Schizosaccharomyces pombe: one gene and its partner. Changing the gene in region 2 together with the main gene of any one other region gives a genetic interaction. Each region holds a gene or a part of one and is shown on either strand. Other genes may lie near its edges.

Region 1 (3,931 bases), on a different chromosome or scaffold from region 2:
TGCAAACTCATCTTTCAAATACTAAAAAAAATTATAAAAATAAATGTTTCTTGCAGTTAGCAGATAATGAAATTTATTTACTTGATCATGTAATTTTAACTAATGGACGAAAATAAATGTTGGCTAAATTACAAATAATCAAAAGCTGTTAAACAAACTTGTAAGTGTATCGAATCAAGCGTTCTTGCATAGGTTGCAAATTTTGAAAATAATTCTATTTCCTAAGAAAACAAATTTTCTAGACGTGCCTTACAATTAATTAATAATATAAAAATAGCAATAAATATAAATAATCATTAAATTAACTATTAATAAAAAATCTTAACATCCAAAGAGGTAAAACGATGAAAAAAATTCTAATATACAGGGATGAATGTAAAGGAGAAGTACGCATTAGGTTCTCTTAATTGCCGGAGGTGCAATTTCACGCGATAAATATTGCTGCATTAGAGAGGATAGGGATTTTTTCTCACTTATTTTCCTTTGTCTTTTCATAAGTAAAACCACGTCCTGCGTGTCAATTGTTTTCCGATGAGCATGGTCTGCAAAAGCCGAAAGGTCATTCGCGATCTGTTTGAAAAAGAGTTCAGAAGCTGTAGTTAGTTCTTCAATCACTGATCCAGCAATTTTTTTCTGTGAATAGGAATTAGCCAACTTCCTAATATTTGTTTCCGGTAGCACAAGTGTTGAAGATTTGGAATATCTTCTTTTAGGTTTTTTAAACGGAGAATCTTTTAGTTTATTTAGAATTTCCCCATTATCTTCATCATTGGGTATTTCTAAAGCAGAATCAGCATCCATTGGTGCGTCTACTACTGGGGAATTGACAGCTTCGTTGGCATTTTCAAGCAAGTTATCATCTAGTAAGGGTTCAAAATTTGAGATTTCTTCCATCAATTCTCTTTCATTGTATGCTTTTTCACCAAATTCCTGAATTGGATCGGCTGGGAAAGTATTTTCGCGCCTTAAAATCTCAAGGCTGGCGCGTTTAGAAGGTAACTCAGATAATCGAGAAGAGAGAGATGATTGACGGGATCTGGAAGCTCTTGAAGAGTAAGATGGTTCATCTTCTAAAATGTCCGGGCCTAAATTAAAAATGGGACTTTGATATTGGTTCAGGGTCGCAACATGGCGTTGGAGAGGTGTACCGTCATCCATGTCATCTGTTTCATAATCACTTAAAGGAATGCGAAAAATAGGAACTTCGTCATTTTTTAAATCTATGAGTCGATTACTAGAAGCGGTACTTAACGCGCTTTCTTGAACTTGGTCAATATTATTTTCTAATCGTTTTTCTGAGATTAGAGAATCACGAATATTACTGACACGCCTTCCATCTGGTGTAAAAAAGTCGCTAAGGCGCTGTGGAGCACGCCTTGGAGCTTCGATGGATTGTATCGTCAGATTTGCATCGCTAGTGTCGGTACCTGGAGATTGGGAATTCCTTTGTTTAGCATCATTTTTTAAAGTCCGACGCTTATTCGAAGACAATCTTGGTGTCTTTTGAGACTTTTGACTATTAGTTTGTGGAGTATGTCGTCGCTCGGAGGATTCTGATTCAGCTGGTGATGGTACTGGATTTTTTGCCAGCGCACGACTGAGCATTCTGAGAATGTCTCTAGGAGTTGTTGCGGAAAACACATTGCTCCTTCTCCTTGCTAGACTATTCCTGCGTGCAAGAGCTCTCCGTTTATGAGGAGTAACAGTCCGTTGAGCAGAACGTGGAGTATACCTGCTTCTAGAGGGGGTAAAATGCCGTCGCTGAGAAAGTGTACCAACTAAATGTTGAAAGGAAGAGCTCTTGAGTGGCGTCTCATAATTGTGAGAAGCCATTGTAAGCGTGATTGATTAGAAATGTAGGTTGAGTGAATATATGTATACCATGCTACCTATACAGCGATTTGGAGTTTTTGATAAATATTAAGGAGAAATAAACAATAATAATCAATCCTTTTAAAAAACAAATGATTCGAACAAGACGATTTCAGGGCTGATTAAAGATTATGGCTCTAGTAAGGTTGGTTATATCATCTTTCTAATTAGTATACAACTACTTCACACTTTACTTGCTTAAGTTCTAATCTGTCTGTCTTTATATACGCATCTTTTCTAAAACTGCTCCATAGCAATCTTATCTAAAAACATGAAGGAATACAACCTCTTTTAAAAAATCGAAGTAAAACGCAAAGATACTTTATGTGCCTATGAAATAAGATGAAAGCATGAAATGAACAATTAAACTATTTAGCTTTATTGTTTGCTATAATGATAAGCAAAACATTTAGGGAAACAATATTTAAAAACTACTAAACTCTTAACTTTCAGAAACTTGTATGGATAGTATTTGCAACAGCAACTTTATTAACAATGCAAAGATTTCTTATGACTTTAATAATTTATTTAACAGTAAATTTTTAAAATCATAATTATTATTCTTTTTGACAATTCTGAGTAAACTACGTTCGCGAGGTTGTAAAGCTTAAGGCATGAAATAGACGAAGTTATAGAATACTTTATGTTGAACTTGAGCGCTATTACATCAAGGATTTGGACTCTTAAATTTGTCGGTTAGCAGCATTGTAACATAATTATCAAAAACTGAACGTCAGATTTGATGTGTTGTTTGTCAAAGTTGGAACTAATGGCATTTTGTATGATATTTGTTTCGAGATTTTCTCTTTAGTGGTTTTAGGACACTTGATAATTAGCTTGAGTAAACTTGACATTCCACCATCACCATGAGCGAGGTACAAATTGTTAAATCGTTTCTAGAAGAGCTTTCAAAGACCCCTAGGAATCACCCTGATAGTATTCCAATTGAAAAAATAGATGAAACTGCTATTTCGGTGCGTAATAATGATTCTTGTTTCACAAATATGCTATTGAAACTAATAGTTTTATAGATCACTATTCCTGCTCCACTGGTCGAGTTTCAAGGAAATTTAGCTTTGTTCGAGGAAAAGAAAGGTAAATTCTGCTTAAATAACTACTTTTAACTAAAAATCTAGTTCATGTTGTTGCGAAAACTGTCCGACCTCCCATTCAACAAGCATCTACTGAAATAAATGTACAGTCTACAATTTTGGAGCTTAAAGAAGTTTTAGCATCTCAGTTATCTACGCAACCTTCCTCTATCCGTTTGATGTACAAAGGCAAACCTCTTGTCAACTCCAGACTTCTAGATGACTATGTGGATGCCGACAGTGTCTCTGAAGTTAATCTTCAAATGTTTCTAATGAATATTTCTTAAATGACTTGTTTCATGTTGGTATTTACCTATATTAGTTTTTCTCCTATTTTTTGATTAGGAAAGTATTCGACGTCAGACACTTATAAAAAATGAAGTGTGTCATTACATACTTATTATGAAAGTTATAGTTATAACTATTACAGCTTTTCTTTGTGTAATTCGCTCTATACTTTCTCAGTTTTGCATATCTGGGATTTTTATGTTTCCCTTTTTATGCAAGACGCCGGCAAGTAAAATCTAATTTAAAACAAAAATCGAAAGAGCATAGTCAGTAAATAATGTAACAGACATTTTTTTTTTCTTGAATTCCGTACTATAGAAAAGTCAAATTGTATTTATTTATTGTTAACATTTTTCTTTAAAATTCGTATTTAAGCGCCCGTATTTCTTTCATAATTGCGCCCTATACCTCATAAAAAAAGCATAATAATTATAATTTTAAGCTAAATTTATTTCCTTCAACATGTTATATAGAATTGTATATTGATTTTGTCAATGGTTGAAAATTATCCCAAAAGTACAATGTTAAAAGTTTAGCTATTATTTTTTTTGGGATGTAGACTGCATTCATATGTAAAATTTAGCCTTAAAAGTTGAGGGGGTCGTATTTTTGTTTTTTTAAAAAAGGTGACTGATCATGTCCATTTCTCTTTTTTTATGACTTTAATCACCAAAAAAAAT
Region 2 (3,931 bases):
GTTCAATTCGTTCAGAATAGTGATCGCGCATAGTCATTCCATTAGGATCGTATTGAGAATGCTGAGGGTATAAGTGTATACGCTGTAACTGGGAGGGGTCTTTAATTGACATGGAAGACTGCATTGAAAGATTAGAAGGATATTCCGACTTTTGCTCTTGATTAACGCCGTAAATGGAAGACTGCATATAAGCATGTGCTGGTGCTTGCATGTTTTGCCCATCCTCCGCTGAAGAAGAATATGAAGCTGGAAAAATGGACTTGTTTAGAGAGGGGTACTGACTTGCAAAAGAAGCTCCATTTGCATGCGCCATTGAAGGGCTGGATGTAGAATTAGGAGCAGACAAAGAATCAGTAGGCCCTGAATTTGAGTTAGGAGAGGGTGAATGAAGATGATTGGAATGAGGTGTGTATGAATTCATGGGTAATCCATTGACAGCAGTTGGTCCGTTAGAAATTTGTTGAGGAACCGACGCTGTAGAATACATAGGTTGTTCAGATGTATAACTGGGTTGGTGATTTCCAGGCTTACTTTCAAGATAAGATGGTTGATTTGGAGTATATCGATCATAGGAATAAGAATTAACAGGCATCGATTGTGATGATTGCATATAGGATATGTTGGCATGAGTATTGTCCATTGGAAGGGCATTATTACCGTCAGGATGAGCAGCAGATTGGTTTGAAGAAGCAAACATGGTGGAGCCCATTGGGACATTTCTAGATTGGTAGATGAAAGGATACAAAGCTTGTGGCTGACCGTTAACGGCATGTTGAGCAGCAGGGAATGGATGAGATTGTTGCTGTCGAGAGAAACGTTGAGAGGGTATTTGGAAAGGCTGCTGCAAATAAGGAAGAGATGGCATGCTAGAATAGCCAGACTGTGGAGGAGTCAAAGAAGAGTGCGCATTGTGTGCATCAGCCATAGTTGAAGGATCCACACCCATGTGAGGGGGAAGCGAGCTATGGTGAGGAGGATGGATGGCACCCATATCTAAATGGCTCGAAGAAGAAGATGATATAGTAGCGACGGGATCAGGAAGAGTGCTAATGGGAGGAGCAACGTTAGGATTGGAAGTTGTAGACGACGAAGAGTTATCAGCAGACAAAAGACAAGAGTTGGCCATCAAAGGGATAGAGTTATTGGGAGAATCGTGGGAGTCAGGAGGAGGACGCTTTAAGGCTAATCTCTTACGACGATAATGCAAAGCACGTTTCGAAAGTTTTAAACCAAAGTTCGCCTCTATCTGGGCCAAAGAATCTTTATCACTTTGTCGCGCATGAAATAATTGGGTAACGAGTTCATCGAGAGCCTTTGAAACGTCGCCCGAAGCGGTTCGCGCGGCGGCCTCTTCGGTTCGGGGCGAGACAAAACGTTGACGATGTACTCGAATTCCCCATCGAGCCAACACGCGTTTGTATGAGCGAATACTAGAGAAAAGTTAGCAAGAGTAATGAAACAAAACAACAAAAAAAAAGAGCTAAAGAGACAAGTACGCGATACGTGAACATAAACGTGAGCGAAAACGAAGTAGCGAAAGACAACTTCAACGCAACGCCAAATGAAATAGAGGAAAGGAAAACAGGATGGATTCATATGGCATGGTCTTTTGCATGAGCATGCACATGATATACATGACGGGTTATTGTTTAGGACATTTGTATCCTGTATGTAAGTGGATTGGACAAAGTGGATGAAAAAAAAGATATTCCAAACAAAACAGCAAACCAAAAAGACAAAGAAACAAAGAAACAAAATTTCATTGTTGAATGAATGTCTCAGTTGAGGATGTTTTGGAAAACTGCCATCCTGTTTTATTGTCGCAACCCCACATACCCAACAATAGCCAATGTCCATGCAGGCACGACACACAACGACGACCTACACCCAAACATCCAAACACACAATTCCATTCACCTTCTCGTACCTCTAGCCCTGTACTTATTCGCTCCTCGTCGCATCGCAAGCATCTCGCACAAAATGGCGCAACTTGTAGTCCCTGCGGCGACACCAACAAACTACTTACCTAGCGTCAAATTTATACATCTTTGACATTCTCGCCTGCAGCTCGCGAATCGTCATTCCATTGATCTTGGAAAGCTCGATGATCTGCTCTCTTCGACATTCCCATTCCTTCGTCATTGAAATCGAACTTTCGGTTGTCTAATGTTGTTTCAAGTTGAGATTGGAAGTGGCCAGAGTTGGTGGTAGTGGTGGCTCGTAAAGTAGGGGTGAAAATAGTGTATCAATTTAGTGCACGAATGACAACAACGTTAAATGATAAAATAGAGCGATCCAAGGTACACCCCCGGAAACATGTAAGGAACATCGGGTCAAAGAGGATAGAAATATATAGCCAAAAAGGGCGCAACTTTTTTCTATCATCTCAGGCATTCGGAAAAATGACCTCGTATCGATGGTTGCCATCTTTCCAATCACATCGTGAGATATTCATTAAATATTGCTCATGGAGAATTTCGGTTTCACTGTTAAGCCGCTTCGTATGATGGCGCTTCCCTGCTCTTATCCATCCAACAAAACTCATTACTCCTTTCGCACTCAAAGTACTGAAACTCATTCTACTCAACACTACTCTTAGGTAGGTTAGGTTAGGTTAGGTTGGGTTGGGGGAGTTTGGGCCTTTGCTATCCCATATGTCTTTTGGCACGTTTGATCTATTGGTAGAGGGTGGACTCGCTAGCGGCAACTTTTTTCTTTTACCAACTCTTTTGTTCGCTTCTTCCACCTTTTGTCAACTCAACAATAACCTTTAACGTTAAATCCTCGACGAGAGCATTCTGTCCCATTTCCAGTAAGTGAAGGATGAACGTTAGAAAGCTGACATGTTCGCGATTTGGTCTGCTAGTAAATGTTGGGCAGAGATGCCTGCTTGCCTTGTCTTGCCAAGGTATTTTTTTCTTTTCGCAAACGAGTAACAGGTTGCTTTGGAGACGACATGGGTATCTGGAGACGAGTGTCTGAGAAAAAAAATTGAAAATCCGAAATCATGATCAACTCCGAACGTACCTAATTTGGATGGACGAAGAGGAGGAAGAAGCGAGCACCCATGAAAGAGAGCACACTGATGCACGCATCCATCAAGTGTTACAAGACAGAGGTAATAGTAGATGAAATAGAAGGGATGGCAAGGTAAGATATGAAAAGGTAGGGTAAGGCATGGGATAAGAAGAGAAATAGGATAAGAAAAGAAAGAAAGAAAGAAGAAAAATAAAAATAAAAATAATACTAAAAAATAATTGGGGTAATTTCTTTCTTTTTCCTTAATTTATTTTAAAGTTCTTTGATCGAGTATTTCCTTTTTATCGACTTCTTCCTCTTGACACTGCCGATGTCCTTTACCTTGCAAAACTTATGCTATCGCTCATCCCGAGGAAAGTTTATAAACTTGCTAGTAAGACTCGTTGTTTTCTTACTACATAATCCACCTTGTATTCTTTTAGTATACAATTTTAACATACTTTATAGCAGCTTCATTTATACAACATACGGAATAGCATAATTTATTTATTAGAAACTTTTCATAACATACTTTATTCGTATAACATACTCCACTCTATTATTTGTATTATCATCACACTGTCTTGTAAATATAACCCAATAAGTAAATGAATAACTAAATATTAAAAAAAAATATATATTTTGTAACACTGGGATGCCAGTTTTATGCCACTCGCATACCTTTCGCATCCATATCAGACACAACTCTATTTCCTTCAATTTGGCAAACTCTGCGTCCGCCAAAATAAAATCATCAAGTCATGTGAATAAACATAAAGTTGAATGTAACATGTGAACAAAAACATAAAGTTGTGTGAATTTTGCAGATCTTATTACATTTGTCTTTTTCTATTTTTATATCAACATAAACTAAGGAATCCCATCTCCAAAAAAGAAAAAAAAAAAAAGGAAA

The links.
Region 1: of clr5 (region 2) and cnp20, a mutation in one rescues a mutant of the other (synthetic rescue), as found in Schizosaccharomyces pombe (one large-scale study listed by BioGRID).

Annotation. Positions count from the first base shown.
Region 1 is NC_003423.3:277,566-281,496, reverse strand, and holds cnp20 (centromere receptor protein cnp20), read right to left. Parts: upstream 2,015-3,931; 5' UTR 1,834-2,014; coding exon 394-1,833; 3' UTR 250-393; downstream 1-249. Other genes in the region: SPOM_SPBC800.12C (ubiquitin family protein), read left to right, coding at 2,739-2,846, 2,904-2,967, 3,009-3,250.
Region 2 is NC_003424.3:5,426,618-5,430,548, reverse strand, and holds the start of clr5 (silencing factor Clr5), read right to left. Parts: upstream 2,194-3,931; 5' UTR 2,143-2,193; coding exon 2,027-2,142; intron 1,431-2,026; coding exon 1-1,430.